Linked DNA regions of Mus musculus: regions 1, 2, 3, 5 and 6 are each reported to be linked to region 4. The links are microRNA targets in miRTarBase. Many come from high-throughput screens and were not tested one by one. Region 4 holds a microRNA gene; each other region holds the end of a gene's coding sequence.
What was found. Region 4 holds the annotated microRNA mmu-miR-9-5p (UCUUUGGUUAUCUAGCUGUAUGA, at 2,503-2,525, opposite strand). A microRNA usually pairs through its seed, bases 2 to 8, with sites in the 3' UTR of a target mRNA and lowers its output. Matches are read on the target gene's strand: a 7mer-m8 pairs with bases 2 to 8, a 7mer-A1 pairs with bases 2 to 7 and ends in A, and an 8mer does both.

Region 1 (5,301 bases), not on the chromosome of region 4:
AAAAGATAGAAGGCGCTTCACAGCCGAGCAGGGAAGGGTGGCAGGTAATAAAAACAATGAGAAGAACAGGTAACAGCAGGTAAACACCAGGTAACGATAGCGATAAATTACTGAGGAGAAACGAAGTTCAAGGTAGGCCTAAGAAAGGAGGCACAAAACAACAACGGGAGCCAGGAAAGAAGTGTAAGCGGGCGCCTGACAGGAAAACACGTGGAATAAGGCCGCGCAGGGCCCCGCGTAGAATTTAGGCTCCAGGAAACCCCACCTCAGCCTTCCCCGCGTAACGGTACCTTCAGCTTGTGGAGCTCCACCGTCTCGGCCGCCATCTTGATGCGCCTCAGTCCACCGGACCCCCACCGCTGGCCCCCACCTCAGGCGCTTAGGCTCATCCAACCAATCGCTGTTTCTCTTGCTCCCACCTCACACCAACGGCTCTTCCCATTAGTCAGCGGCGGCGGCGCTCTCACGCCTCTTGGCCACTTTCCACGGCTCTCTAAAAAGGTGGATCCAGGGGAGGGCGGGGTTTGCATGGCCTAACGAGAGAAAAGGCGACCAATTGTACGTCTCCATTGCGTAACCAACCAATGATTGGGGACAGCGCGGATTCTGTTCCGCCAATAGGGAGAGCGCAGACAGGGCGAAAGTCGGCCACTTCCTGGAGACCACAGGTGTAAGAGCCAGCGCTGTGCCCCAAGCCGGACGGGCTCCTGAAGCTGGCAGGTATGGGCCCCGTGAAACTTTAAAAAGTTACAGAGAGAAATCGGTGGGAGTATTGGGAAGGGCGGCGAAACGACAACCTTAGATTCGAGAGATCCCGTGAAGAAAGTGACATGCGAAACTGGGACTCTGGGAGGAGCATGGGCGGACTCTGTAATTGATTTGGGGAATTGTGGGACAGGCAAGAGCGGGTTAAAACAAACAAAACAAAAAACAAAAGTAGGCATTAGAGCTTGCAGAAGTTTAAAAACTAAAACCGCTCCTAGAAGGGAAGGACTCCCATTTCTTGAGGGACTGAGCTCAGACCCCTTCCTAGACTAATTTAAAAATTGGGTAAGTTTTTGCAGCGCCCCACGTTCAGTGAAGGGATGAAATTGCTTGGCTGCTGACAATGCCAAGCGGGTGAGAGACAGGATGGACAAGCCCCAGGAAAAAAGGATGGGAACTAGAGGTAGCTTTACTCTCAGTGCCTTCTTTATTGGTCCCTTGATTAACTGAATAGCTTTCTTGTGGAACTCTGGGTATGTGTGACCTCTTTATAATTCACTAACTTCCTCAAGAAAGTAAATTAAAATACTCCCGATTCCTCCGATCCTTCAAATAGGTCTCACAGTCTAAACTTACTGCTTTATATTTAGTTGAAATGTAAAGATCTGAGTAAAAACCCCACTTGTGTGAGTATACACACTAACAACTGAAGGTACGGAAGTCAAAAGACAGCTTTCCGGAGTTGGTTATCACCTTCCACTGCATGGGTCCTGGGGATCCAACTCAGGTCTTTAGGCATGGTGACAAATACCTTTTCCACCTTAGTCATTTCGAAGACCCTCTTGCCTTTTTGTTTGTTTTGGAGAAAGGTCAAACAGTTCTCATGCCTCAACCTCCTAAATTCAGGGATTACAAGCATGAGCCACCACACCCAGCTGCTTCACCTCTTCTCAAGTTTTAACAAAGTGTTCAGTTTTTCCTTTTTTTGCATGGTAGGGAAATTCTTTCATTCCCAAGACTTCAGGGGATTTTGGCTTTTCAGGAGACAGCTGGGGAACAAGCTCAATCAGGGCTAATGAGGAGACTGAGTTGGACTCCTGCCTGATCCCTCACTGTGGTAGGATGAATGTGGGGGTGGCACACAGCGAAGTAAACCCCAACACTCGAGTGATGAACAGTCGGGGCATCTGGCTGGCCTACATCATCTTGGTAGGACTGCTGCATGTGGTTCTCCTCAGCATCCCTTTCTTCAGCATTCCTGTTGTCTGGACCCTGACCAACGTCATCCATAACTTGGTGAGCACTAAACCAAACCCTGTACCCAACCCAGGTCTATCCCAACCAAAACAAAACAAAGTCACCAGCTGTTCGGGGATTTATGTCTTCCTTTTGGGATCTTGACCCAAAGGACTACTTCCTACCCCTTATACTGTCCCTTTCCCTCTTCCCAGGCAATGTATATCTTCCTACATACAGTCAAAGGGACGCCCTTTGAGACCCCTGACCAAGGAAAGGCTCGGCTTTTGACACATTGGGAGCAGATGGACTATGGACTACAGTTTACCTCCTCGCGAAAGTTCCTCAGCATCTCTCCTATTGTACTGTGAGTCTGGGTGTGAAGGAGATGCTGGGTTGGAAATGGCTCTACTAACCAGGGAAAAGGTACTAGGGGTTGGGGAAATGGTTTAGTCAAGTGCTTGCCATAAAGGATAAGGACTTGAGTTCAATCCCTTGCACATATGTAAAAGCCAGATGTGGCCATGTACAACCATGAGTGCCTATAATCCCAGCACTGAAGAGTCAGAGGCAGGAAGATCCCTAGGGCTCGCTGGCCAGACAGTTTAGCCAAATTGCTGCACTCCAGAGTCAGAAAGCAACCCTGGCCAAAAAAAAAAAAAAAAAAAAAAAAAAAAAAAAAAAGAAAGAAAGAAAAGAAAAGAAAAGAAAAGAAAGTAGAGAGCAATTCATGACAACTCATGTTGAACTCTGGTCTCCATGTGTACTAACCCTTGAACATGTACCTATGTTTACACACACACACACACACACACACACACACACACTCTAGTCCTAAGCCTACATTATAAAGTACAAGACATAGTCAAGCATTCCTTGCTGGTTCCATGGTATTAAGGAAAGGGAGAAGGGACTGAAAATAAACCAAACTCCTAACTAAAGCCAAGTGATTTTACAGTCCCAAAAGAAAGCAAGAAGGTAAAGGCAGAATGTATATTAATGGTTAAAAAGTAAAACTGACTTGGAGAAAGGAAGCAAAAAGGGCTCCAAAAGTCATATATGCTGAAACAGCTTTGGCTGTCATTTGCAGTTTATCATTAACCATTAACAAACAAACTGATTTATCATCTCTAGTTAAAGATGCCTTCTGATTATATCCTGAACCTCATTAAATACCATTGATTAGCTGAAATAGTTGTTGGACTACATGCAATAAAACTAGTAGTTCAAAATAGAAAAGTCACTGGTAAGGCATGAATGTGATTTGGGAGGCCAACCTCCATCATCCTAATTCTTTTCTCCTAGTTACCTCCTGGCCAGCTTCTACACCAAGTACGATGCTGCTCACTTCCTCATCAACACTGCCTCGCTGCTCAGCGTGCTGCTGCCTAAGCTACCCCAGTTCCATGGGGTTCGTCTCTTTGGAATCAACAAATACTAAAAGATGGTTTGCTAGTTCTGCAGGCATTGAGGGAAGGCACTGGAACTAATATATAATGTTTTCCCTTCTCCACACTATCTTCTGTATCTTGGAAGCCTGAGAGATAAGATAAACCTATCTAAACTCCAAGAAGGAAGAAACTGGAAAATGGGGTTCCTGGGTCCAGTCTTCATAGGGTCAAGATTCTCTGAATCAGGAAAGGTGGATGAGGTTAAGGGCACTACCACTCACTCTCCTCTATCTAGCAAGAAGCCATCATTGTTTGGGCAGCTTTTCTGGTGATTATGTTTTTCCATATCTTCTAAACCTACCAACTTCAAGTTCTGTTTTGCTGTATATTTTTCTTAAAATAAAGTCTTTCAGTTATGGCTGAAATTTGATAAGCAAGGACAGAGAGATTTTCTCATAATGCTGGGGAGAAAATGCAAAATGCTGACTTACTATAAAAAAAACTTTTAAGCAAAATTTTGTCTCTACTCCTTTGGTCCAATACCTTTCACTCACAGCTAACAGCAAGGAAAGAATTCTCAAATAAGAAAAAAGAGCTCACAAGTGAGTAGTGGAGGCACATGCCTATAATACTAGCTAGCCCTCAGGAAGTGGAGGCAGAGGCAGGAGAATCACTGCAATCTGGAGTCCAGCCTGGTCTACACAGTAAGACTCTTATCTCCAAAAGAAAATAGAAAAGGACTCCCAGCTACATGGGTAAAGAAGAGAAGGAAGATGTAAGTTGCCAGTTATATATTTATAGAAAGATAATCTCCTGGCTTTAAATAGATATGTACATACAAATATGAACAAACTTAAAAAAATACAAACCCTTGGCTAACAAGGGGGCCTCTGGGAACCCCTCTATCCTTCCCCCTCACCCAAGGGCACAGGGCATAAATCTGCTTTTTAAAAATTAATTAATTTTGGCCATCCTTGCAACAACAAGCCTGAAGTTAGGTGTCTTACCAATAAAGTGAAAGTCAGAGGAAAAAAATCAGTTTCCACTCTTGAGTTCTGTGTCTCCAAAATTAGGGCTACATGCTTTTTCTTTTAGCTAGTATATCAGGGTAAAGGGGGGAGGGGAACCCCTGATATGGGTTTAAGAAATAAGATACACTCATTTAAAAGGGGGTGTGTTTCATCTGCTCTTAAGAGCAGATGATAAGATAAAGGCATACAGACCCCAGAGAAATCCCCAGTTCCCACACCTCAGAAGCATACTGTCTGGACTAGGTCCAGCCCCTAAGTTCTTTGCTCTGACCACCTCCTATTTCTTTGGTATTGTCAGAAAACAAGATTCAGTTCCTGGGTGTTGGGGAAGAGGGAGAAGAGGTCATGGGCTTCCTCTAAGTACTGAGTGAACAATTTAAAATGTTTCCCTTTTTAAAGTATTTTAAAATAAATCAAATTCCATCCTGTGCTGTACACAGCCCTTTTGACTCCCTGACATTGATTTGAGGAAGGAAGAGAAGGGGTGTCATCGTTGAAAGGGCCGCCTCACTTTCTTCCGCCGTTTAGGTTTGGCTTCTCCCTTGGGTACTGAACTGTTGGGCCTAGAGGTCGAAGTGGTCCCAGGGCCAGGGTGAGGTGCGGCAAAGAAGTTCCCATTGGACATCGGCCCCGGAGGTACTTGAAAGATCCGGCTCAAGAAATCCTGCAGGTCAGCAGGAGGGGACTCTGGAGTGGCCCTGAGGGAGAAAAGAGGCAGAAGACATTATAGTCGGCTTCCAAAATTAACTACACACCGAGAGTCAGTGCCCAAACTTCCTAGAAAACAAGGCATCTGAAACCATACAACTGACATAGTAGGTGTGAAAGTATCACCTACCTCTGCCGGCCACTGGTGCCGGGTACCCGAGAACCAAATGAGATGTGGTAAGGAACTCTGTGAGTATCTGGGGAGATACCCACACGCTGGCATCCAGCCC
Region 2 (5,269 bases), not on the chromosome of region 4:
ATAAAGGGTTACTGCTCTTGCAGAGGACCTCAGTTTGGTTCCTGGATGTAGGGAATCGGATACTGTCTTCTGGCCTCCTCAGGTTTCAGGCAGGCACATACATACATACATACATACATACATACATACATACATACATGAAATATTTAATTAGAGAAGGAGCATGTGGAGTTGGGACGCAAGTGTAATTTTGCATTTCCTCTGCAGTGCTGTGGTTGTCAGCTGCACTCTCTCTGGGTCTCTTACAGGCTTGACTGTTGTAGTGATGGATGCACAGATTCCTTGGTAGGACATAATGAAGAGGCTTCTGGTCACAATGGTGAGACCAGGACCTCCAGACCTGGTGGCACCCGGGCCAGCTGTGGAGGTAGAGTCACTGGAGGCAGCAGCAGCAGCAGCAGTGAGCTTTCCACTCCAGAGAAACCCCCGAGCCAGAGGTTCAGCAGCCGGTGGGAACCTGCCCTGGGCGAGCCCTCCAGCAGCATCCCCACCACTGTTGGCTCACTTCCCAGTTCCAAAAGCTTCCTGGGCATGAAGGCCCGGGAGCTGTTCCGTAATAAGAGCGAGAGCCAGTGTGATGAGGACAGCGTGACCATGAGTAGCAGCAGCCTTTCTGAGACCCTGAAGACAGAACTGGGCAAGGACTCGGGCACAGAAAACAAGACTTCCCTGAGTCTAGATGCCCCACACCCATCTTCCCCAAACTCAGACAATGTGGGGCAGCTCCACATCATGGACTACAATGAGACTCATCCTGAACACAGCTGAAGAGGGTCTGTCAGTGTTCATTTGCGTCTTTGTCGGCACAGAACAGAAGGTGTGAATGCACGGTCTAGGCTTCTGTTTCCAGGGTCTGAGCAGCTGCTTGTGCGGTGGGAATGGGACAGAGGTCCTTCTGACAGAGGGCAGAGAGTGGGATGGTGGCTTTTGGGTCTGGCATTGAGACGCTTCCTTCACCTCCCCTAGCCTTTCATTTACCCAGCAGTGTGTACTGATTGAGGGTCTGTGCTTCACTCTCTCCTCCCACCAAATGGTTATGTCATTTGAACCTGTGCAATATGAGGCCAAATTTCATCTTTGGGTCCAATATGCCACTCTGCTTTCCTGAGGTTCAGACAACTGGGTGGCTCTTGGGTAGACCAGGCAACTAGTGGCACTGCAGGTAAGTCCAGTTTGTCCCTTGCAGGAGGATAGAGCCTACAGAGCTGTCTTTACAGGAGCGTTCCCACTGCTTTTGGTTCTGAAGTTCAGCATCTAAGCCACAGATCTAGAGAAACTGGCTCACTCACCTCTGCCTTTTCTTGGCAGCTCTGATATGATTCCTAGAAGGTTCTGTGAGAATACCAGCTGCTTTGACAGTGCAGTTGCCACTGTGGAGGCCACACTGCCTTAACTCTCTGGAAAGCTCTTACCCCTCTGCCCCACTACCTCTTATTTATTTGGTATTTGCTTGAATGCTGGCACCATGCTGCCTGTGGGTGGGTGTACAGGTGTTCGTTCTGCAATCTGCAGACAGTGGGGAGTGGTCACTAGGAGAGGCACCTACGATGCCCGTGCTTATGTGGATGTGTGCCTCTGGCTGGTCATGGTTCCACCCTTCAGCCTGTTTGCCTCCCCTTGGTCCCCTCGGGTCCAGCTGCCTTGTGATGCTGCAGCAGACAGGCTCGGGAAGTCAGGGCCTCCTAGGAGCTTATGTGATGATCACTCTCGGCTGAGGGGTTGCCTCACCTTACTAGGTTCTCACAGCTTTTACACCAACTCCAACTTCAGGAAAGACCCTCCCTGGAGCTTCATATCAAACATTTCTGTTAGGAACAGCAGAGTAACTCAGAGTCTGATAAAGGCTGGTGGCCTATACCACTGCCTGGCCTCATGCTCACAAGAGGTGACATTGGTCACTGCCAGAACACAGTGGTGGCAGAATCCAAACTCAACCAATGCTCCTGAAATAAATGCTCGAAGTGAAAGAATTGTTGCCTGATATTCTGGCCCAGGCAAGGAGAGACTAGGAAGGAGCCATGAGCTTGGATTGCTTGTTTCTATTCTGTAAGAAGAGGGTTTAGCTACAACAAAGCTAAAAACAACAACAAAATGGTACGAATCTTACTGAATAGGAAAGTTTACAGCCTGAGGATGAAAGTCTGAAGTGTGGCAGTAAATATCCTAGCATCCCTAAGTAAGGCAAGACTTAACGCCCACAGGAAGGCGTGCCACTAACCCCTCAGACCAGCAGAGGGCAGCCACTGCCCCTGAACACTTGGAGTGTGGGTGACAGTGATGGCATGCTTTTTCATGTAGTTCTGCCCAAAGCAAAGCTTAAGACCCAGGATTCTCTCACCCAAGCCATTGGAGAAGTGGGCAGATTGACAGATCTCACAGGTAGTCACAGTTTCCAAGAGTTACCACCTCCACCACCAAGGTCTGTCAGAGAACAGAGCATTTAGGAAGAAAACTTAGACTGTACAGGTGATGAAAGTTTCTGGAGAGGAGCATGGTAAGGTAAGCTAACATGCAGGCTGCCATCTCCACAGACTTCACCTGGGCCTTCTGCACTTTCCTCCAACCTCTTCCCATACCCAGCGACAGAGCCTGAGCATCCTATGTGGCTTGAGTTCTAGAAGGCTGTTAAGACTTTCCCACCTAAGGTTGGAGGACTGTGCCCCTGAGACATCTTTAAGGCACTTAACCTAAACATTGACTCCTTTCAAAGGACTTCAGGGTCAGTGGGTGGTTGGGTGGAGGCTTCTGTTTTAGAGAGCAGTGACAGTTGACCTAGGAGTCAGTAGGTCACCTGGTCTAGTTGTGCGCACCAGGAAGCTTCTGAGGAGCAGCTGGAGTCCTGGGCCAAGGAGTAGAAACCCTGGTGGGTTTCATGGTGGCATAGTGTGGGGAGGGGGTGGGGGGTTGAATGGCCTTCATCCTGTCATCACTCGGACTGTGTGCTGTGCTTGCTAACGGGCTCCAAGGAAACTGGAGGCTGTGTCTCATGCAGTCCAGAATCTGTTAGAAGCAGCCCTACCATGTCACTGCAGTGTAGGAGATGGGTGCCCAGGAGAAGAGCTAAGTGCATATTTCTATGTAATATCCCTGCCTGCAAGCTAAGACTGTGCTTTAGGAGCCAGGGCAACATGGCAGGGAGCATGAGGAGACAGGCTCTAAGTGGCATCTCCAGGCACCAGCAGTGAGTGCTGACCTCTTTCGGGGGAAAAAAGGCTTAATCTTCTGGACTAAGCTGCAGAAGGTTCCAACTGTGTGACATGATTAGCAGGGAGTCACTCTTCTTAGAAGGCAAGCTGTCACAACCCAGGAAAAGTCTGGTAGCCACTGGTGGTTTAAAAAGCAGACAAAAGTCTCTCTGCCCCATGCTGCTGTAGCCAGTGACCAAGCACCTCCCAGGTTGGTGGTGGCACCATAGGTGACAAGCGATAGACTCAGGATCACTTGCAGAGTCTGTGGGCTCTAGTGCTCAAAGGAGAATGAGAAAATGTTAGTAGTCAAGGATAAAAGGAGCTGTGAGCTGACCACAGAGCTCAGGCTGGCAGGAAGCTTAGAAAGCAAGGGGTGACGACTAAGTGAGTGTGCCCAGCCAGCCAGGGGGCGGGGAGGGGGGGGACGGCGGAGGGAAGACCATACACCTGAGGTCAGAACTAAGTAGCAAAGGCATGCCACATGGTAAGGTGGGAGACACAGGACACCCTGGTAGAGGTGTGGGCATTGCACAGGCTCAGTTTGCACTGCAGCATGTGGTCTGCCTCAGCCAGAGGCCAGTGGCCCTGCAGCCGAGGACTGAGTCCGCTGCACCTTCGCCCCAGGGCCATGCTTTAAACCCACTGCCATGTGCACTGGAAACACAGCCAGTGTGAGGATGTTTGTGTCCACCCAGAGGCGCCTCATTGCCCTGGGTTTAGCCTGTAGGAGGGTGGGGGGACATCACTGGGCTGCTGCTTCCACCCTTGTTATTCAGCTTCCTGGTTTGTGAGCCCCTGGTGTGTTCAGGGGAGCAGTGCTTCTGTCTCTGGTATCACCCTGAGTTTTTAAATGCTGTATAGAAGAGCAGCAGTAGCTACAACAAACTGCATCCTAACCACTTTTGGTGTCAGAATGAAATTAATGGGGGCAGAGAGGTGTCCTTCCCTTCCCGGAGCCCCAGTATTATCCACCCCTGGATAAGTAGGCAGCCTGAGCCACTGGAGGATGGTCTTTCATAAGACCCCTGGGGATCAAGGGCTCCAGACTGACGCCTCCTCCTGCCTCTGCTCACACAGTGTCGGAAGGGAGAGGAGGACTTGATGCTGTTGACTCCCTGGCAAACCAGAGGCAGGCAGGCAGGCGTTTTTTTGCACTAGGAAGATTCAATGGTCACCCTTCATGAGACTGGACCACAAACATGATGCAGAGGAGCAGGTTTTGCTAAGACATAGTTTAGTTTTATAATCAATCATGGATGAAGCAGATATGGCTAACTTGGGAGTTTAAGGGGGGGTGTGATATTCCCATCAGTGAAAACGAATCAGATTTTAAAAAAAAAAAAACTTTTTAGTTCAATGGAAGTCACTTCTCAAAAGGTTTAAATGTTCCCACTAAGATATGATCTTAAAAGCATGTCAAACAATCCAAATCAGATGCCATAAATATGGGCTGCAGGAGAACATGGGACAGTCTCAGTGAATGGAATCAAAGGTTTGCTGTCTTTAGAATGTTCTAAAATGTCAAGGCAGTTGCTTGTGTTTAACTGTGAACAAATAAAGATTTATTGTTTTGCACTCCGCAGTGTTGATGGAGTGACTCTGTGCTGGCTGTGGGGACGTGTGGGTGAATGAGATGGTCCAAGGCACTGTGAGCAGACTGCATGGTGGCATGGACGGGGGTGGACGGTTAGTAACAGCTACTGGACTTGGGCTGGAGAACAAATAATTCATCAGTCTAAAACTCACGGCCCTACGTAAAAGCAATGTGTGGAAGAGGGCTACCTCCAATAGCATGGCTACCCTAGTCTCCATCCCAAGTCCTTCTGATGGAACCTAGCAGAAGCTTACCCTGCTCTTGGTCAGCTGTATTGTGATATGCCATTACCACCTGCTTGCCTGGTGCCCCTGCCCTTCAAGTATCGAGCAGAGGTAAGAGTGGGCAGAAACTGTACAAACTACAGGGCAGTGCTTCACCCAGGACATGTAATTACTGCATTGCTCATCTTTTTTTGTTGTTGTTGTTTTGTTTTTGTTTTGTTTTTTTTTTGAGACAGGGTTTCTCTGGGTAGCTCTGGCTGTCC
Region 3 (5,298 bases), not on the chromosome of region 4:
CAGTCAGTGCTCTTAACCACTGAGCCATCTCTGCAGCCCCCTATTGTTTTATTTATGTGTCTGAGTGGGGGCATGGAGACTAGATGAGGGTGTCAGGTCTCTAGGAGCTGGAGTTACAGGCAGTTGTGAGCAGTCATGTGGGTGCTGGAAACCCAGGTCCTCTGCAAGAGCAGCCCGTACTCTAACCACGGAGCCATTTAACCTCCTTATTTTATTTTATTTTTATTTTTGACGGGGTCTCACAATGTCACCCTGGCTGGCCACCAATCCACCTGCCTCTGTCCCCCACGGTTGAAGTGTGGGCCACCACACTCAGCCCTGTTCCATTTTCCCTGTGAAATGACAGCTGTGCTCTTCTGCGTTGCAGGGTGGAGTTCCAGAACAAATTCTACACTGGGACTGGCTTCAAGTTCCTCCCCTTCTCCTTTGAGCACATTCGGGAAGGGAAGTTTGATGAGTGAGTCTGAGGCAGGGCGCATGCCCAGAGCAGCTCCCCTGCCCGTCTCCACAGTGATCAGCTGTGTCTCTCTTGCCTGCTGGTTGTGATCCCTGGATGCCTGGGCCTTTGTGTCGCCCTGCAACCCCTTGTCCCTGCTGTGACTCACTTAGGTAGTGCTGGCCTTGCCTCGGTCTCTCTACCCCAAAACTTTGGATTGAATGCTGAATGACTGTGCCTGATACTCACCCATCCCCACGGCACCGGCTAGGCCCCTTGGCCCCCCAGACAGACAGCCCTGTTCCACCCCCTGCTGGTGAGCCAACCTGCACAGCCACATCGGGGCACAGAGCCCTCAGGATGCAAGGGATCCCTCTTCAGTCCAGGAGTTCTTGGTCACACCTTGGAGGAGGATGGTAATTGGTCCTCTCCTACAGGGGGACACTGCTTATGAAACACATCCCACTCCACTAGCAGGGACAGTCAGGAAGATGCTGCGGTCATCCCTTGCCCAGCCCTCTCCAGTTAATATTCAGGAAATTAGGCTGGCCCCACCTGGACCATCCCAAAGGTCCCAGGATAGCCACCACCCTCCTAAGCACCCCCTCCTCGAGCCCTGTTGGCGCAGCATAGCATCCCTGGGACTGGGGGGGTCTCACCGACTTGCAGCACTGGGCTTCCGGATCTTAGGTTCCCTCCACCCAGTCTGTAGGTGAATGGGCCTTGCCCAACACTACACCCCAAGGCAGAAGTTAAAATTGGCCCATCTCTGAGCCCTTCTGCACCCTGATCATGATGTCCTGAGGCTGTGGTCAGTAAGGTTGGTTCTGCTGGCAGGCCTGCCTTGATCTGCCCACTGAGACTCCCTCCCCAAGCCCCGCACTGACCCCAGGTTTCAGGAGTGGTGTCCTGGGCAGGGAAGGTCATTTACAATTTGCTAAGCGGAGGTGACTGTTGGGCTGCCAGCGCAGGTATGGGAGCGCTGCCCAGGCCTGCCAAGCCCTCGCCGGCTACCTCATGTACTGTGGATCTCAGACCCTTCTAATCATGTGCTGACTCCTGCAATTCACTCACTGCCTTCCCTGTGGAAGTGACACTAAATCAGCAAGGCCCCTCCCCTCCCCCACCCAGGTGCTCATGAGAACTACCCCCACACTCGCCCAGGCAGGACCGGCCCATGGTGACCTTGTTCTGAACCCCTCTGTCCTTTTGTGCCCGGTTACGTGATCTTTGCTCTGTTTGCAGAGAGGCCTGCAGCAGAGCTCTTTGTGGGGACCCTGTCCAAGGCCTTCTGTCCAGACATCTTATCCGGAATAAAGTGTGTTTGACTCTCAGAAAAGCTGCCTGTCTCTGAGTGTGTGTGTAGGGGGGTGCGGGGAGGCTGTCACTCTAGCTCTGCCCTCCGGAGCCCATCTGGTGCCCACACCCACTTCCTCCTGCCTGCCAGCCTTTCTGCTTTTCTTCCTGATCTGAGGCCACAGTCGCCCTGGCCCTGGCTGGGCGGTGAGTCTGTGAAATTAGCACCTTATCTCAAGTCGCCCAGGCGCCTTCCCACTGCCCTGAGCCAAGTTTGCATTGCTTGGGCAGTCTCTATCTCCCTTCCCTTCCCTGTGTATCCCAAGCAGAGAAGGGGGCCTGGGTGTCTGCCCCGACTTCTCTCCAAGTGCATTCTCCAGCCCTCCATGGCCTGGCTATTTTGAGCCCTAAAGCCTTTGGCCTCGGTATAAGTGGAGGCTTGGCAGGCTCCTCAGGGCAGCTGGAGAATGTGACATGCTGAAGTAGGCAAGCTAAGGGCCAGAGAACCGGTAGACTATGCGGGGAGAAGGCTGGGTGGGGAGGCCACTTCCCGTCTCTGAGACATACACATTCTTTCTCTGCCCTGCCCCCTACACACACACACACACACACACACACACAGGGCTGGTTTATGGCACAGGAATGTAACACCTGCTTCTCATAAGAACAGGGAGAAGAGCTGGGACATCCTGTTCATTCCATCTTCTTAGTCCACCCTAGTCTATACCCCTCTCTCCCAACCAGCAGGTCACCTCCCCTGGAGCAGTGCTCCCCGACTCCATCTTTAAATGAAAGCCCCAAAGAAAACCCTGATCCTCTTGCTCACAGGGAGGACTAACTAGAATGGCAGAGTCAAGAATCCAGGATCAAATGCTAATTTACAGTCAGCCAAGATTAGACAAAGAGGCCAAGGTAATTCTCCGCAGAGAGAACAGAGCCTGACACTATATATCTGCAGTCCCGGCCCTCTGGGGGTGGATACAGGATTGGGAGTTCAAGGCCAGCCTGAACTACATGAGACCTGGTTTCCAAAACAACACAACAAAAACCCCTTTGTTTTCAGTAACTGGGGCTAATACAACTGAGTGTTCACCTGCAGGGAAAACACATTTGGATTGCTCCCTAACCATAACGAAAATAAACTCAAACACCGGGCCTGGGCCTGGGAGCCCAAGACTCAAGGGCCTGGAACAGAAGGCTCCTGAGTTTAAAGCCAGCCCATGCTGTATAACTACGTCATGTCTTATCAGCCACAGATAAAGAAATGAAAATAAACTTAATAAAATTAAATTAATAAAAAAATTAAAAGTGGATCATGGACTTAAATGGAAGAGTTAACGCTATAAAACTTAAGAGGCCTTCAAGCTAGGCAATGAGTCTCACATGTGAGCAACAAGATAAAAAACGCAGATGTTGGCCTTCAAAGTTTTGGTAAGCTTTTGTGATTGAAGGTCAGAACCGAAGCGCCTGGAGATAGAGAAAGATAGAGAAAAGGTCACAGGCAGATACCCAGGCGGTCTGAGCTGTGCCATTCAAGGAAAGGGTGAAAGGCCTCCAAAGACTGGGGATTGGCGAAGGATCCAAGATACCCAGCCATCTCCAAGGAATGTGTGTCTGGGCAAAGGGGACGCCGCTGTAGGACCTGCTCACTGCTCCTCCGGCTCACACACCCCTCCCCACAGAAGATGGGCTCTGTGTAAAGGTAGAAGGTTGCTTTCCTTCCCTTTCTTTAAAAAAGAAAAGGGGTGCCCCCCATACCCCATGCCTGTAGTTCCCGGAACTTGGGGTTGAGGCCTGAAGGAATAGCATTGAAGGCCATCCTCACCCTTGATGGCACAGTGAGTTTGAAGTCAACTTGGGCTACATGAGACATGGTCACAAAAAAAAATTTTTTTTTTAATGTGGCACGATGGCTTAGCAGGTAAAAGTACTTGCCACACAAGCCTAATGACCTGTGAGAGTCCCAGACCCAAGTAAAGTTGAAAGGAGAGGATTAACTCCACAGAGTTGCTTCTGACCTCCACCACCCACCCCACACCCCATCATACACAATGATGATAATCAAAATGTTAAAATTTAGAATAAAGCCTAGAGCTCTCTCTGAATTTTTCTTTCAATATGCTCTTTTTAAAAAGGAAAACAGAGGCAGGCACGGCCTTTAGTGCCAGCACTCAGGAGACAGAAGTAGGCAGATCTAGGTCTTTGTGAGTTCGAGGCCAGCCTAATCTACAGAGCCAGTTCCAGGACAGCCAGGGCTACACAAAGAAACCCTGTCTGTTTCAACCCTGCAGGACTGGAAAATGAAGAAAAAGGAGAGGGAGAGAGAGAGAGAGAGGGAGAGAGAGAGAGAGAGAGAGAGAGAGAGAGAGAGAGAGAATGTGGAGAAAAGGAGAGAGGAAGATATATCAGGATGGCGGTGGCATGTGCCTTTATCCCCCACCCCATGGGGGAGGGGGTAATGTGTTCACGTGAGAGCGTGGGTACACACTGAGTCCAGAGATCAAAACTGGATCTCTTCCTCTGTTGCTCTCTGCCTTATTTGAGCCTCCCTCTCTGGCACGCTTGAGACAGGGTTTTCTAGAATCCCTGGTTAGCTCTGAGCTCACTATGATGTATAGGCATGCCCCACCATGCCTGGCTAAAGTATACACCTGGAAGACTTGTTAGTTTAAGTCTTAGTTACCTCTCTGCTGCTGTATACCCACCCTGGCTAAAATCAACGTACAGAAAAGTTTGCTCTGGCTACATTCCCAAGGGAGGGTCTATAATGGTGGAGGCGAGGCAGCAGGCAGCCAGAACCTATGTTTGACCATAACCTGGAAGCAAAGAGGGCAAACTAAAGTGGAGTGAGACGGTAATATACTCTCATCAACCTCCTGGCAGGGGCTGTCAACTGCAACGTCATGTTGTGGTGACCACCACCACCATAGTTTTATTGCTCCATAACTGTCATTTTGCTATTGTTATGGTTTGTAATATAAATATCTGTGTTTCCCAGTGGTCTTAGGTGACCCCTGTGAAAGAATCACTTGACAACCCCAAGGGGTCGCGACCCACAGGTTGAGAAAGGACCGACCTAACCGTCCTATTATCTCCCCTAAACAATAACACTAATCCGGGACCAGGCGTTGTAATACATGAACCTATGGGGGCCATTTCTCATTCAAACCACCACAGTATAGAATCTGAATCATGGAAGTAAAGGGAGAGGACTAAGACTTCCTCGGAAAGAAATGGCTCCTCAGTGGGGCTGATCAGAGTCGGGGGAGAGCAGAGTCCTTAGCGAGGCTGAGTTCTCAGAATCCCGAAGCTTCCGGTTTCCTCCAGCCCGCTGAAGATGGGATGGCCTGGGCTGGAATGTGTGGAAAGTTAGGGGTGAGGAGCAGGCTCCGTTGGGCCTGTTTCTAAGGGGCGTGTTCTTTTTCCTCTACAATTTCCAGACGCCATCCTGAGATCCTGGAACAAGCTTTAGAGATGGCAGCCGCAGGTCTCCTGGAAGCAATGACCCACCTGCAGGGGCAGCGCTCAGCCTGCCCAAATCATGTGCTGGGTGTAGGCTGCCCCCT
Region 4 (5,301 bases):
GGCTAGGACTCTACCTCCATGGGACTCCTAATGGGGGGACTCCAGCCTGCCTGGACGGCAAAAGAACCAAAGGCGACACACATTTGAACTACACCTAAGACACAGTCGTGAAGCTATGTGACCACCTTGGTGTAGGAAGGACTGGCTCTTACAAAAATAGCAAAGGAGAGGGGCCAGGGAAGAGAAGGCTCTGAGTACCGGGGCAGGCTCTGGGGAAGCCCCAGCCCATCCGTGAGACGTGGAGGCAGGGAGTGCTGGGCAAGCAGGCTGAGAGAGCTGCTCTGCTTTCCTCAGAAATGAGGTCACCACCAGCACACAGGCTCCCAGGTGCACCAGGAAGGGGGAGCAAGCCCAGTAGATGCAGTTGGGGGGAGGGAGGCTCCTGGGTCCTCAAACACGCGAGTGACCCTTCACAGGCCTAAGAAACGGGAAGGAAAAGATGAAAGGACCTCGAACCCCTTCCTTCCACCCAATGAGTCCCTGAGAAGGAGGCACAGAGACAGCTGCTTTCCTGCCACCGCGTTTAATTTTGTCTAACATTCCAAGGCAATGCAGTGAAAAACTCTCCATCTACCGTATGGAAGCCACACCTTGCCCCTCCCCAGACCCAGGAGGTTCTCCTTTGTATCACTGAATTTATTTTTACTTTTACACAAGTCACCTTTTTGTTGTTAAGATAATTTTGCTAAGCAAAGGGTGTGGGGGGGGGGGAGGAACGGCTGGTAGGCACAAAGATGGAAAAAGATTTCTATTATCACAAGGGGGCTGGGCAGGTTCTGGATAGAGGCTGAGAGACCAATCTTATAAATAACTAAGGCAAGAGGCTCTTGGGATTGAACTGGGCCAAGATGGAGGTAAGGTGACCTAGGTAGTGCCCACCTCTGCACTTCTGCGCTGTGTGTGCTACTCCCTAAGGAGTAGGCCCTCACCCCCCAGATCTGCTTCCTTAATATGTTCAAGGAAAAGAAAGCGGGTCAAGTCAGGATGGTAGCACTAATCCTTCCCAGTCAATCTGCTAAAGCATGTATACACTGATATGTGCCTTAAAGAACCCCAAAAGACCCCAAGCCTTAAGGTATGTGAACTGACTTTGGATCCTTTCTTCCCTACACTTGATAGGGTCCATAGCTGGGTCTACATCCACCACGCGGGAGCCCTAATGGTTTCCTAAGTTGCAGGGGGCCCCAAACTTCAAGATAAGGAAAGAGTAAAGGGAGTGGCAGGAAGGAGAGGGACCTGAAGGCAGAGAAACCTCAAAGGGACCTTCCGCTCCTTGTGGGGCTAAGAACCACGGACACAGAACATTGGCACGCCCCACTCGCAGCGCCCAGCTAAGAGGGACCTGGAGCTTGAGTGGCCGGTGTGCAGCATTGGGTTGCCATGGGAACGGAATTCAGATTTTTTCCCCCAATTGCTTTTTTATTTGCTAGACATTGTAATACATCTTATGTTGCCATTTATTGGGGCGGGAAGGAGAGGAGCTCCAGAGAGCCTGGCTTCCCCCTTAACCAGTTGGGGAAGTTGGGGAGGCTCCGGCCCCAGCCGTCCGACCAGAACTATAGAGGTTTAGAGGATCTGGGCTACGTCTCTCCCGCCCAGCAGCCTGCTCTTGGTTTGTATGCAGGGCAGGGCCGGTCGGTCGGGGCGGGAGGCCCCCCGCCTAGGCCCCTTGCCATTGAGTACACTCCCCGCCAGTTCTGCTCCGCTTCACGCTGCACACAGACCCCCCAACTGCACACAAAGGCAGCTGCCAGAGCCGGTGAAAAGTGATCAAATTATCAAGAACTTGACCTCACCGAGGGGCGAAGCTCCAGCAACCCCCCAGCCGTATGCTAATGGTGCTCAGGGGCTGACTCGTCGAATAATTCGATAAAGGCTGCATTGTTAGCGGCAGGGCAGCCCCCTGCCCACCCTTTTACTCCCCCTACACACTGCCTACCGGTCTCTCTCTCTCTCTCCTCTCTCTCTCTCTCTCTCTCTCTCTCTCTCTCTCTCTCTCTCTCTCTCTCTCTCCCCCTTCCTCTCTCTCTCCCTTCCTCTCTCCCTTCCTCTCTCCGTTCTCTTTCTCATCGCATTTGCATCCCAAAATCCTAGTCTGCAGCTCAGGGCGTGGATTGTTCTAGCCTGATTTATGGGGTGAAGGCAAAGGCTGGCGCCTTCCCCGCCAGCGACCCCTCTGCAACCCCAGCCCGTTCCCTGCCCCCAACCCACTCCACTTCGGGGTTCCAGCCTCGGCGCTGGGAAATGGTGATGGGGGTGCAGGGACCGAGGAGGAGGTGAAGGGAATGCCTCCAGGACACGGCAAGTGTCCCCAGGAGAGCCGAGGTCGGATACCTGGTCCCGGCGTGGCCGCTCCGTCGAGCTGGAATCCCTGGGTGGCGTGGGCTTCTCTGGGCTCCTCTGGCTCCTGTGGCCAGGGCGGCCGGCCGGGCCATCGCACGCAGAAGTTGTGAGAGTCATTTCTACTTTCGGTTATCTAGCTTTATGACGGCTCTGTGGCACTCATACAGCTAGATAACCAAAGAGAGAAACGGGCCTCCCATTCGCCGGCACCGCTGCCGCGCTGTGGGCCCCACGTGCCGCCGCCGACCCGGCGCGGGGGCCTGAGCGGACTCCGCTCCCGCAGCCCCGGGCGCACGCGGAGAGCCAGAGGGGACCGACAGACACACAGACACACGGACTCCCGCCACCCGGATCGCCCAGCTCCCTTCCTCCCTCGCCCTCGCGATTTCTCCATCCCCAGTTCCCCGTCCAGTGCGTGCGCGGCCCGCTTCGACGCCGTCCCGGGGCGCACTCGGGTAACCGGCGCTCTGCGCTTGGGCAGCCTCGGGCGCCCTGGCGGCCCCCAGCGCACTGGACCATCAGCCCTCCTCTCGCAGGCTAATCGCCCCGCGGGGAAGTGACGTCAGTCGGGGGATCGGCCTATCACGGGCTTCCATTCAAATCCCAGCCCCCTTCCCGCGCTCGGCACCACCCAGCCTTACAATGGCCTCGGCGTTCACGGCTTCTGCGCCGCGAGGACAGGGGAGCGCCTCTTCTGCCCTCAGAAGCCTTAGGCCTGCTTGCTTGGATGCACACAGTCTGGCCTTTCTCTCAAACCTCTCTGACCTCCCAGCAACGTCTTAGGTGCCTGGCAGCCACCGCAGACCACCAGAGTTAGAGTTTGAGGGAAGAGGTTTAAGGTCGAGGTCTCTCCAAGGCAACCAAGTGAGCGCAGGAGAGGCTGCGAACCGGTCACTTTATCCTTAAGGTCTCTCTTCCTTTTTTTTCTTGCCCAGCACTGTACAGACACCGCGGTAGAGACTGGGGATTAAGGGAAGGAGTGGGTGTCTAGATCAATGTATCCCATATATATTGCCTGACTTGTAGGGATTCCCATGGCATGCTTCGCTCAAACCAGGTCCTAAATGTCGGCACCAGATTGTTAGCCCTTTCCCTCTGACCATTCCTAGTACAGCCAAGGATATGTAATCAATTGTGCCCCTGCGCCTTAAAGATATCCAAGGCCGTAATTGGGCTCCTATTCACCTCCCATAAAAATAATCAGCTCCTGCCATCTTTCTGCTCACAGCACACCCTAGCCCACTTACTCCAAGTGACTTTACAGGGCAAAAGAATTGACATTTTGAGGTTTCACAGTAGAATTGAGCCTGGCCACCAAACTGAAGTCCCGTCTCAGTCTCCTAAACGTGGTGGTTTAGAGGTTGCTCACCTGAAACCCATCCTGTCTTCCTTGCTCCTGTACACCCCTCCCACTATGAGCCCTGATTCACCCCCTTCACCCATTCCTGGGAGGCAAAGGATTAAATATGAAAAATTCGATATCTCCTTCCCCCCCCCCCAGTCATCCCTAGAAAGATCTTAAATCCAAGATCTAGAGATTGACTTAACAATAGAGTGGGGGTGGGGGGTAGCGGGTTCCAGGATTCCAGCAGTGACTATGAGGGAGTCCCAAAGACTCTCTGTGCTAAGGCATCCCCAAAGCAGCCCAGATTTGGTGGGGGTACTCATTCAGATCTGTTTTGGTGAGGCGGGGGGGGGGGCACCCCTTACACACTCTCCATCAGCAAATCCCATAAGGCTGGGTTCAAAGAATAGGCCCAAAGTGGGTGATTTGGAAGGGATCAGGGAATTTTTCTAAAGGTATCTAAAGCAGTCTCCCTTAAATGACACATCTGGATTTTTTTTGTTTAATACCAGGCTTTGGCACCACACCTCTGTACCCCGTGCTTGTTTTAGATTCGTCCTATTTTTTATCTTGACCCCAAATCCAAGGTGGGCTGCATCCCCACTGCCATCCCTGTCAGCCAGTGAGCAAGCCAGCTAGCAGTTACACACCTCTTTCCAAATGCCACCTCACAGACAAATCCTTGTCTCAGAAAAAGGACACAGGCTAGACTGAAAAGCATCAGAGAAACAGAGGGGCCGACCTACCGACAGCAAGGCCCAGGAAGGAACCTCGAATTTGGGCCTGCCTGGTTAATTCTAAAGGATTTTTCATAATTAGGAGGTGTCCCTTTCTTCTCCTCCTACAGCCTCTGGAATCTACACCCTCTTCCATTTAGCTGTGTGTCTGTCAGTGTGGGCGGCCTCCTGCGCTCTAGTCCTTCTGGGCCACCCTGAGCTTGGATGGGTGGAACTGAAGAGGCAGAGGGAACTGTGCAAGCACGATTCACCTGAAAGAGGGGGAGGGAGAAGAAAGAGGGGGAGTGGGGAGCAGGAGAGAGGGGAAAGAGAGAAGGAGCGTTCTCAGAGTGTGATTTAAGCAGGACGCTGCACAAAATGGCTCCTCGGCTGTGAGGTTCATGGTTATAGCACGCTGGAGCCCTGGCCTGAGAGCCTAGGGCTGGTTAGGAGTCTGGGAGAAAGACTAAAAAGCTTGATTTTGCTTTCTGTTCAGGTAAGGCAGGTTAGTGCCACCAAAGCCACATTTCTGTTGTCCTTTAGGAAACCATGTCCCTTGCCAAAGCAGGTGAGGCCAGCCAGGCAGAGGTTCCTACACCATGCTGGAGTGGGCTCTGTCTCCAGTGTCCGGGTGCATGAAGGTGTTATCAGCTCTCTCTCAGGAAGGAGGCCACAGTGAGTGTGGGCCTTGGGTCATCCATTGCTTGCCCTTTGGAGGATGTTCTGGTGGGACAGGGCAGTAGGTAGTCTCCTTGAGCTAGCAGCCACACCCATGTACAGGATGGGAAGCCTCCAGGTCAGACCCAGCAGGGACACATTGTTTGGGGCTGAGCCTACCCACGGAGGACCCAGCTGACTTTGGCTCTGATTGTCTTTTCATCTTCACACTGTACTCTG
Region 5 (5,301 bases), not on the chromosome of region 4:
TGTGATTTTGGTTTCTTGGTAGATATTATGGACTATCTTCGAGAGATCAGTGAAGAACTGCAGATCAGTAAAGTCTTTGCTGCTGCTGCCTTTGAACGCATCTGCACCTTTGAGGGTAAGCTGAGTTCACTTCAGAGACATATGGAGGAAGTAAATCTAACAGACTTTCCTGCCTTCAGTATAATCGTTGATGAACTTAAACAGCAGTTTAAGGAAGATCAAAAAATATTTGATCCTGACAGGTATCAAATGGTGATCTCCCGCCTACAGAAAGATTTTGAGAGACATTTTAAGGACCTCAGGTTCATTAAAAAGGACTTAGAACTTTTCTCAAATCCATTTAGCTTTAAACCGGAATATGCGCCTATTTCTGTAAGAGTGGAGCTAACAAAACTTCAGGCCAACACTGACCTGTGGAATGAGTACAGAGTCAAAGACTTGGGACAGTTTTATGCAGGACTGTCTGGTGAAGCTTACCCAATTATCAAAGGGGTTGCCTATAAGGTGGCATCCTTATTTGATAGTAACCAGATCTGTGATAAGGCTTTTGCATATTTAACTCGAAACCAGCACACATTGAGCCAGCCACTGACGGATGAGCATCTCCAAGCACTGTTTCGAGTTGCCACAACTGAAATGGATCCTCGTTGGGATGATCTTGTGAGAGAAAGAAATGATTCGTAAGCCGTTGTGGTCCAAGAAGTTGATTTGAAAAGGGAAAATTAATTTGATTTTTCTTTCACATTTCCTCATTTGGATGGTTGGAAAGCATTGAACTTACTACAGATGTTCAAATTGATAAGCATTGAAATCTTTCTGACAAGTTGCCTTTCTCCATCTCATTTGGCAACATGGGACTGACTGAAGCATAAGAATACCACCTTTAAAAAACTTAGTTTAATGGAAAAGTCATTGTTCTTTCCTTTTATTATTACTGATTTTCAACAAATTTAGTATTGATATTGTCAGTTGAACTAGAAGTCTGGTTTTAAAATGGTTTAAAGATATATGCCAAAAGTTTCAGCTCTTATTTTGACACAGTGGAAAGTGTGACACGTGGTTTGAAATGACCAACTCCTTAAAAGTGTATTTGAGCCAGTTTACAGAAACTCACATATCAAATTAAGTTTCTGAAAAGGAATAGCATAAACACAGTGGAGGTATTTTATCTAGATAACAGAATTTAAGATTATTTTTTAAAGCATATTTCTAAGTAAATACAATCCCCCCATCCCCACCTACCCAGTTGATGGTGACATTACGGATGGAGGAAGTAATCAATTTGGTGTTGGAGCAGCAAGAATTATTTTAAATTCCTGATTTAGGAGTTTCTTACTATCAGGAGTTAAGAATAACCAATTATTGGTGGTTTGCTCCTTATTTTTTCACAGCTGGAGCAATTTTTTCAGCTCATCTATCAAAGGACCATGGTAAGTATGGAATCTTGATCACTGCCAGTCAGTAATTTTTTTTTCCCTGCTCTAGACAGAACTTTGGCCCTATCCAAACAGTAAAGGGGAAAGACTTTTACACTTCAAGATCAGGAGTTCTGAAGGTTTTAGCTCGTTTGTCTTATCTGCATGGGTATTCATGTTTTATAAGGAAACCATGCTTAAGGGAGACACTTTATTTTGAAGTGATGAGTCAGATTTTGTTAGGTGTAGGAAATGGATTTATTCTAGAATTTAGAACTGTCTCGCACATTGAGTAGTTAAGACAGTGCACAAGTAAAAATATTTAAATCTCAAGAAGCAACCTTATCCACAGACTGTAATAATTCCTATTTCTGGAGACATTGGTTTTGTGCTATGATGTTATCAGACTTTCTAACTGTGGAGAAGACAATCTTAAGGTAAAGCTCAACCTGAAGCCTGATCTAAAAGCAGCACTGATTTGTAACTCCTCCTCGTGCAGTTTACAAGCTGATGTGCTCCGTTCTGTCTTAAATACGGCAGCACACTGTCGTGTTGCACATTCGAGGAACCTTATTACAACCAAGCGTTTGGAAGGAACTGATGCTTAAGCCACACGAGTCTAAGAGCCAAAGTTAGATCAGTGGTTCTAAACCAAAGGTAGAAGCCCTTCCTTCCAGAGAGTGCTGGAAAGGGTTAGGGCACCTTTGTAGTCCTGGAGGGTTGTGCTGGCAGGTAAGCCAAGAAGAGCTCTCCTTCCTATGGTGGTCAGACAGCCTGATGCCATGAAGAGTCATCCATTACTCCCAAAGTGCCAGCACCTCCCCCTCCCCCACCAAGCATACATCATCTTACTTCAAAGGACAGGAAACAATCTCCAGCGGAAGCTGATGGTGTATACTTGATAGGGAAGCCTAGTTCCAGCAGTTCAGAGGAGAAAAGCTAGTGTCAGATTGACATTTTCCTTATCAAAGAATGAGCTTAAGTACCTGGAAAATGAGTCTACTGGTAGTTTCCCAGGAGCTTTGTGGATTACCTTTCACAATAAATACGTAAAATACTTTTATTATTTGAGAGAATGATTGGAAGTCCTGAAAGCTGCTTCTACTTTCTATTTTAGTCCCCTAAATATTAATATCTTGTGCATTCTATCAAGTTCTTGTGTTTTGCTTAAGGTGATAATAAAGCTAGTTTGCATCATGTAACCACTGTGTGAATATGGGGGAGATATAAATAAGCTAAGGGATTTTTTTAAATTAATCCTTAGCAAGTTTGCTGTAACTAGTCTTATTTTTTGTTTTTTTCTTCGTTTAAGGCAGTGGTTCTTAACCTTCCTAGTGCTGCGACCCTTTAATATAGTTCCTCATGTTGTGGTAACCCCCAGCCATAAAATTATTTCTTTGCTATTTCATAACTGTAATTTTGCTACTGTTATGAATTGTAAATATCCAATATGCAGGATAGATATCTGATATTCGACCCCCCAGAGGGGCGAGACTCATGGGTTGAGAACTTCTGGTTTAAGGTGTTTTGCTGTTTTTTGTATTTCTGGAAGTAACTCTAGCTGCATGGCAGTTTTTTCTTTCCTTTTTCCGTTTTAAATATATAGTTGTTACTGGTCCTGTGGTATCAGTGAATATAGTTCAAATAAGTGCCATTTAAAGCAACAACAATTCTGTGTCCTTAACTGTCCTTTCCCATTTCTCTCATTCCCACTAGTTCAAATATTTGCTTGCCCAGGCTCCCATATTGCCCATCAGATCACTCAAGTTCAGTGTGTTTTGTCAGTATTTTTGCCTTCTTGAAATCATTGTAGCATTGCAGAGACACCAACTCCAGTAATTGTAGTCACCTCTTCCTTAAGTATGTCTGTCTGGTTGTTTTGTTTGCTGTTCTGTTTTGTTTTCTTTTAAGACTCCCTTACCTCATATTCCTACATTACTTCCTTAGTTGATCTCTTTCTATGACTTTAGTTATCACCTGTATGCAGATACTTCCAAATTTTTGTCTCCTGAGATTTCCCTGTAAATCATAGTTGCTAATATTGCTAACTCTTTGCTCTTTCACATCTTGGCTCTTTCTCCCAGACCTGCTCTTCCTCTCACTTTCCCTTCAGCAGATGGCTTTACAGTCAGATCACTCATACCACTCCCCTGCCTTCATTGCTATCAAGGTAGATAGAAGACAAACTTCTGTTCATCTTGCAGAACTTGGCTTACATATCATCTAAGAAGCTTCAGGGGTATCCTCTAGGCCAGGTACCCAACTACACGTGCTGAACACCCTGTCCTTTCTACTTAGCATCTCTTACTGTGCGTTGGTCATTGCTAGACTGGACCAGAGGGACGTTTAATCCATTGTTTCATCTCTAGTGCCTGGCATTTGAACAAATGCTTGGGCAAATAAATACTTGTGTGGTTTTTTTTGTTTTTTATGAAACCTTCACAGTCTTTTTTGACCGTCACGGACATTTTGCCTGTTCTCTGAATAGTTCTTAGCCATGTATTGCAAATTAAGAAATGAAATTCACCTTACTTGCGACTAGTAATCTCATTGTTGTGTTTCTTGAATTTAGTGCAGTGCTTAGCATGTGGTTCAAATATTATGTGAATGTTGTTAAGAAAACAGACTGTAATTTACCCTAGTAAACTAGTAGTAATGTCAAGATTCAAACCTAGGTGTACTCAAAAATCAGCTCTCTAGTGTTAAGTCCATAATACAGAGCCTTTATTTTGTTTTAATTTCCAAAGGAACCTACATATAGAGGGAAAACATTGGATAACTGCTTAGATTGAACTGAGTTCAGTAATCTAAAAATCACCTTCAGTATTGGAGAAAGACAAGACTGCAAAAAGTTAATGTCCATTTTTCCTTTTGTAGGCATCAACCCTAGGAGAAAGTGGCATGCTATTTAGTACTTACTTTCCTTTACAGATGATTTCTGGCTCTCCTGGAACTTAAAAGTAAGTAAACTTGTTTCTGAGAAAGATGTCTTAGTCAGCCCTTCTGACTACAAGATCTTCAGCTCATTTAAAAAAAAAAAAAATGTGGAATTCCCACATCATCTCCCAGAGAGAAAACCCCCAGATGACATCCAGTTAACATGGACTTTTAGATTTGCTGTATTTTCTTGCTTTCTTGTTTCATGCTTCTGAATTTCATTTCTAGGTAAATGAGACATTTCAGTCTTAAGTTGGAAAGCCAGATGCTTATTAGTCTCTTTCATTAAGCCATTTTGCTCAACTTAAGAGATAAACTAGTATCATTCTCTTAGTTGGACTTACAGTTTTAGGAAGTCACACTAATTAGTTCACTCTGAGGTCTTGGTAGTAGGTACAACAGTCATCCAGAGATTTGATCCTGTTGCAAAACTAGGTTTTTGTCAACCTTCAGGTTAAGGGTTTCTCATTTTTATCTCGTATTTAAAAAGTTGTTTCATCCTACAGTGTAAGAACGTTATAAATACTCTATCATTTCTGCCTTGAAACTGACCAAATACTGAATTCATGTATACTTTGTCTAAAGCAGCCAATGGCCACCACAAAGTATTTTTTTTTCTTCTTTAATAAAGGGTAGATGTCCCATCTCCCAGCTCATCTCAAGGGGCACCTCTCTAGAACATAACTTGTCCCTGTGTCGTTATTTTGTTCTATCTTCCAGTAGCGTCTCCCTGATGCCTCCCAAATAATCACTAAGCAAACTGTTTAGTGTTTTAGTTCTGCATCAGGATTGCTGAAGTTGCCGGAAGCAGACAAAAGTTTAGTTGTTTGTGACAGGTTGTCTGAGCTGTCAGACTCCAACCCCTACAGGCCAAGTCTGTCCTGGCCCATCCTTCTCTGAGGAAATTATTACAGGAGTTAGAGCCGTGTCTGTCTAGGAACTGTCATGG
Region 6 (5,301 bases), not on the chromosome of region 4:
CAAACAAAATGAAATAGCCACTGGGACCAATGGTAGACTGAGAGAAAGAAAAGAAATGGCAAATGAATAAAATCACAAAATAAAAACAATAAGAGTAGAAAAATAGCTTGATGTAGCACTTGCCTAGCATGGCCAACAGTGAAAAACAAAGTTGAACATAGACTTACTCTATAGGCCAACAACTCTATCCCTAGGTAAATAGTCTCCTGAAAATGGAGTGTGGGCAGGTCAACTGGCTGTACTAAGCATATATAGTGAGCTACTTCTTCATGCCCCTCCTGACTATATGCCACTTAAATGTGGAAGGAGAAAACTGACTCTGCAAAATTGTCTTCTGGCCTCCATATGCATGCTGTGGTACATGTGTGCCCAGCCACACATATCACACACACACACACACACACACACACACACACAAAACTAATGATGATGATGATGATGACAGTAAATAAAAGAATTTTTAAAATCTCATTCATTAGTATTCCAAATTGAGATGTAGCCAAGTAAAAAGGTAGCTTGTATAAGATTTGCTTTATATTCTATGAAAAACATTGCCGTGTTTTATAAATGGATGCTAGGATTATAGTAAAAACTTAAGAAATAAAAAATGAAAGTTATAACATAGAAAAAGCAGATTTGCTATATTTTCTAGAGTAAAACCTCTGCAAATGAATAAGAAAACTAAGTTTTAAACAACCAGTATCCCGAGAAGGGACCATCTGTTGTGGGTAGCAGCACCCCTGAGTGTTCACACTGAAAATCTTCCCAAGAGCGATAGTTGGCTCAGCTGGCTGTGCTGTCTTTGAAGCTAAAACCCACAGTTGTTTGTTGTTCCCCAAAGAAATGACTGAAGGAGGTTTGACAAAAAACATACCATATACATTCTGGCTTTTCAGCTTTTAAAGAAATAGAACTGACTCCCTGTCTTTTGTGTTTTCCCTGTGTTATTCAGGTGATTGACATTTCGATGATCCTGGCTGAAGCCATTCGAAGAACCCACAATGGGGAATCCGTGTCCTATCTGTTCAGCCATGTCCCACTGTAGTCTGGATTGGAATATTGAAGATGGAGCAAGCCTCCTCCAACTTCTCACTGTCTTTGTCTGCCTGCTGTTTTAGAATTAGGACTCCGCAATTCTAGGATGATCACTGGCAAAAGCATCTGATCTGTGTCCACTCTAAGAGCCCTCTGTCTCTCCTTCTAAAGCTCAAGACTACTACTTTCCAGTCCTGGGGGAGGGCAGAGAAAGGTGGTGGTTATTTGGTCGTTAATTGAACTGGTGTCAATGAGAACTCATCTTTTCCCTCGTTCTTTTTTAGTACTTTGAGGTAACAACTTTTAAGCCTAAAATCCCATTGTGGAAATTTGTCATACATACATTTTGAGGATGCCAAAGGTGATTTCAAATGAAAGCCTTCTGTGTAAATATATAATAATGCCTGTGGATATTTGGGGGGAAATCCTAAATAACCTTTATGTCAGAGAGAACCTTGGAAAATTTATACTATCATGAATTTTGAAATTTTGTTGTTTTTTTCTTAATGATAACTGGGTTTATTTTATTGCCCTTTATCAGGACTGAATTTTATTGGGCCTAAGATAGCCACTGACATACTGACTTTTCTTAGTAGATATTAGACATATTAAAGACAATATAAGGCTGTATCATTTTTTAATTGCCACTTTGAAGATATATCATAAATGACAACTTACCGGAAACTCCCAAATTATGATCAGTGATCACTGATTTGGCTACCATTTCAGGCTGTAGTCAATGAGTTTGTGACCACGTTGATGCACAACTTTGTCTATCCCAGGGGAATTTCTCTTTAGAATGTAGCTCATGTCCTATCACCTTATTCTCAGACGTTAACAATAGCCTTTACTTTCCACATTCCCCAATAGTTTCTTGTTGTAGATGTCCACCAAAAGAAAGGCTCCTTGAAACCCCCTCACATATTTTAGGTTGATTATTATTTTATTTTTTCACATACATAAAATGGGGAGGATTTAAGAGTGCCACCAAATACACTTATTCAAACAGAGCTTACTGAGCTTGAGTTAAATGTCCTTTGGCCCTTTGTCATCAGAAGAACTCCATCTCTAATGACTAGTTAGCATCTCTAAAGCTGCTAAAATGTAGACAGGAGAGGGTTGCAAAACAGTGGAGGCAAAAGTAAATAGCTGTTCCATTAAAATAAACTTCAAAGAAATGCTTCAGAAAGCATTGTGAAGAAGAATCTCATTGTGGGTGGCATTCTTGATAAAATGATCTTTTAGTGAAGTGTGGAGGTCTGTGCCCGTAATCCCAGCACTTTAAAACTAATGCAGGAAGAGTACCACAAGTTTAAGGCCAGCCTAGGCTACACAGTGAGTTCCAGCTCAGCTTGGCCTGGAGAGCTGAGACTGTGTGTCATAAAACACAAACAAACAAAAGGCATCAGTAAGTGCACAACCTATCATTTTCCTTCTCACAAAGAAGAGGATTTGCCTGTGTACCTAAAGCTTAGGAATGCTTAAAAAAAAATCCCCCCCCCCTTGCTGAGTATTGTAGATAAATTCCCAGCCCTAAATTTTGCAGGTAAGAAATTCCTATCCATCTGAGTAGCACACTCAACCAGCACTCTGGAACAGCAGAGGAGCAGAAGTCAAATCAATGTTACAAAGTATAATTTATGTTCCTATAGAGACTGGCATTTTGATAATACCTTATTTGTAACTGTTCTGAAGAAAGTGGTTCCTATAACCTGGGATGCTCAGCTCTGTGGTACAGTCTGTCTCAGGCTTGGTTAGACATGTGTCAAAACTTGTTTGAGATGATGCAGCTGTTACTTGTGATAAATGTGCGATGTCTTAATTTCTTGGGTTTTATGGCTGTGCTGAAGACATTCTTGTGCATACCCACATGGAGATAGCTCAGTGTGTGTGTGTGTGTGTGTGTGTGTGTGTGTGTGTGTGTGTGTACATGTCCCAAAGCATTGGCATGACAAAAGCCAGTTGGTAATCATTTTATCTAAGATATTTAAAGCTTAATGTGTACCATGGATCTTAAAATAAGAATCTTCAGTTTTAAAACCCTGTCATAAAAATCTGCCTGGCTGTCCTCTGAATTTGAGAACCAATTGTTTCTGTCCTTACTTGGCCTGAGTTAGTATTTTAAAGTACCTCTGAATACATTTGTGAACTAATTAGACTGGACTGGGCCTTATACAGTGGAAATATGGTTTTAAATATTGGTTTCAGTTTGGCTAAAATGACGAAGGCTGCCTCATGAGCAGCCTTATTTCAGAACTTTCTTGTTCCTTGCTGCTTGTGGTAAAGAAACATAATGGAAATTACCAAATAGATCAGCTCTGTCCAACTCTATGTAAGGAGAGCATGTTAGTCATATCTACCCAAAAAGGGGAGCCAGGAAATAGTGAATATACCAAAGTTGTTTATCCTCCACATAATTTTATTAGTTTACTTATAGATGTTCATATGCTAACTTTCCTTTGTTAGATACAATGTCGACTAAATTCAGGACATTTCTTGCAGCGCTTGCCCTGGTTTTAGAGACTAGAGAATTTTGAGATCTGGTGCCATTTACTAAGACATTTCAATAAAATCATGCTGACTACTTTCTTTCATAGTTCTTGTCATCCTTTTGGAATTCTGGTTTTGGATGAAATGATCTGCTGATGAAGTGCCTGAGAATGTTCATTACTATAAGTTAACCATCCAGTTTGCAAAAGGAGAGGAAAGCCAGAAATAATTAAAATGTCCTCTTCACGACTTTTTCTTTGTGAAGGACTTATTGGCTATCTTCTCTCACAAGGCATCATCGATGCTCCACAGAGCACATCCAAATTGATCATTCTAGAGACTATCTTTCAAATTAAAGACCAGGAGTGGGGAGATGGTACCTGCCACCAAGCTGACCTGAGTTTAGTCCCTGGGACCCACATGGTGGGAGGAGAGAGTTGTCTTCTAACCACCACATGGAAATGTAGAATGCAAATGCCCACCTCCACACACCCTTATATCCATGCATTGCTACAGTGTATTATACATACAATTATCTAAAAAGTAGAGAAACTCATTATCCATGTATTGGAACAGTCCAAACTTAAGTGCAGACTGCATAGAAGTTGTCCACATGCTTTGTTTTAAAGGATGCCCAAAAGGGTTTCTGTCCTTTTAGAACATGCCCCCTCACACCCTGTTCTGTGATGCTTTAAATTTTGCTTGTGGGAACAAAATAATTGCATGTCCCTGTTGTGCGAATGTGTGTATCTGCCCATCTGTCTGTGTACATGTTCATGTGTGAGCGTGGATGTGAATGCCAGAGGTTGAGCTCTCCTCAGCTCTCCCCTGCCTTATTTATTTATTTATTTGTTTATTTATTTATTTATATTTATTTGACATCATCTCTCACCGAACCTGGAGCTCACGAATTTGGCTCTACTAGCTGGCCAGTGAGCTCTGGAAATCTTCTGTCTCCAGTGCTAGGATTAACAGGCAAACTGCTACCACACCGTTTTTTACATGGGTTCTGGGGACACAAACTCAGGTCCTCATGCTTCTGTGCGGCGCGTGCCTTATAGACTGTGCCAGTTCTCTAGCCTCAGGACAAGATACACAGTTATTTTCTTGGATGTATGAGAAATGCTTGAGTGAAAGTGACACCCAAAGAAAGGCCTTAAAAATCACCAGACAGCCAGGCATGGAGTACATGCCTTGACTCCCAGTACTCAAGAGGTGAAGGCAGACTGATCTCAAGGCCAGATCGGTCTACATAGTGAGCTCCAGGACAGCCAAGGCTACAAACATGGGTTGCTATCTTGGAAAACAAGCAAGCAAAACTACTATGCATTATAAAGAACTGTCACCAGGTCTGTGAGGAAAGAACACCATAAGGTCACTTAAAAGGAGATTTACTGCAAAAGAGAGGTTTACAGTGGTGCCCAAGAATGCTGCCCCATCTTGGAAGTGTTTCATTCCTCATAGAAGTCCCCTCTAATCCACCCATGAACTCCAGGCATCAGACCAAATGAAGTAGAGATAGTTGAAGGCTGTGAAATTTGGAGTGTTGAATCTAGTCAGGAGTTTAGTAAGGGCTTAGTGAAGGTACCACTGCTAGAAGTGGTCATCTGCCGTAGAATTGTCCAGAATGCAATATCCATTTTCCAGCACAGACTGAGTGGTTCATGGTGTGTTTGAAGGGGGAATAGCCAATGTAGATGGGGGCTTGGAGTAGAAACATGACCATATCCTTCATCTAAATTGTGTGTATAAGTCAACAAACTACTTAAAACTGAT

Region 1: miRTarBase lists Dnajc14 as a target of mmu-miR-9-5p. Seed matches in the 3' UTR shown: 8mer at 4,646-4,653, 7mer-m8 at 3,862-3,868 and 7mer-A1 at 3,360-3,366.
Region 2: the mRNA of Tsc1 is a reported target of mmu-miR-9-5p. The part of its 3' UTR that is shown has no 7-base or 8-base seed match.
Region 3: miRTarBase lists Atp6v0a1 as a target of mmu-miR-9-5p. The part of its 3' UTR that is shown has no 7-base or 8-base seed match.
Region 5: miRTarBase lists Epm2aip1 as a target of mmu-miR-9-5p. Seed matches in the 3' UTR shown: 7mer-m8 at 2,066-2,072.
Region 6: miRTarBase lists Prps2 as a target of mmu-miR-9-5p. Seed matches in the 3' UTR shown: 7mer-m8 at 3,427-3,433.

What each region holds. Positions count from the first base shown.
Region 1 is chr10:128,816,961-128,822,261 of GRCm38, reverse strand. Dnajc14 (DnaJ heat shock protein family (Hsp40) member C14) reads right to left here. Exons shown (of 7, transcript NM_001359825.1): 6 at 5,202-5,301; 7 at 2,814-5,061. The coding sequence ends at 4,851. Ormdl2 (ORM1-like 2 (S. cerevisiae)) reads left to right here and starts at 633. Exons shown (of 4, transcript NM_024180.6): 1 at 633-720; 2 at 1,748-2,001; 3 at 2,157-2,308; 4 at 3,247-4,360. The coding sequence starts at 1,828. The coding sequence ends at 3,382. Sarnp (SAP domain containing ribonucleoprotein) reads right to left here and starts at 498. Exons shown (of 11, transcript NM_025364.3): 1 at 291-498. The coding sequence starts at 326.
Region 2 is chr2:28,686,406-28,691,674 of GRCm38, forward strand. Tsc1 (TSC complex subunit 1) reads left to right here. Exons shown (of 23, transcript NM_022887.4): 23 at 249-4,767. The coding sequence ends at 768. Among named protein-coding and RNA genes, the nearest start is that of Spaca9, 11 kb to the right of the region's middle.
Region 3 is chr11:101,061,945-101,067,242 of GRCm38, forward strand. Atp6v0a1 (ATPase, H+ transporting, lysosomal V0 subunit A1) reads left to right here. Exons shown (of 22, transcript NM_016920.4): 22 at 368-1,775. The coding sequence ends at 461. Among named protein-coding and RNA genes, the nearest start is that of Naglu, 5.5 kb to the right of the region's middle.
Region 4 is chr7:79,502,503-79,507,803 of GRCm38, reverse strand. It overlaps Mir9-3 (microRNA 9-3), which reads right to left and starts at 2,540; the gene lies at 2,451-2,540. All of the region lies in intron 1 of Mir9-3hg (Mir9-3 host gene), which reads right to left. It overlaps Gm51285 (predicted gene, 51285), which reads left to right and starts at 2,468; the gene lies at 2,468-2,525.
Region 5 is chr9:111,273,098-111,278,398 of GRCm38, forward strand. Epm2aip1 (EPM2A (laforin) interacting protein 1) reads left to right here. Exons shown (of 1, transcript NM_175266.4): 1 at 1-5,301. The coding sequence ends at 684. Among named protein-coding and RNA genes, the nearest start is that of Epm2aip1, 3.9 kb to the left of the region's middle.
Region 6 is chrX:167,344,650-167,349,950 of GRCm38, reverse strand. It overlaps Prps2 (phosphoribosyl pyrophosphate synthetase 2), which reads left to right. Exons shown (of 7, transcript NM_026662.5): 7 at 953-3,631. The coding sequence ends at 1,045. Among named protein-coding and RNA genes, the nearest start is that of Tlr7, 17 kb to the right of the region's middle.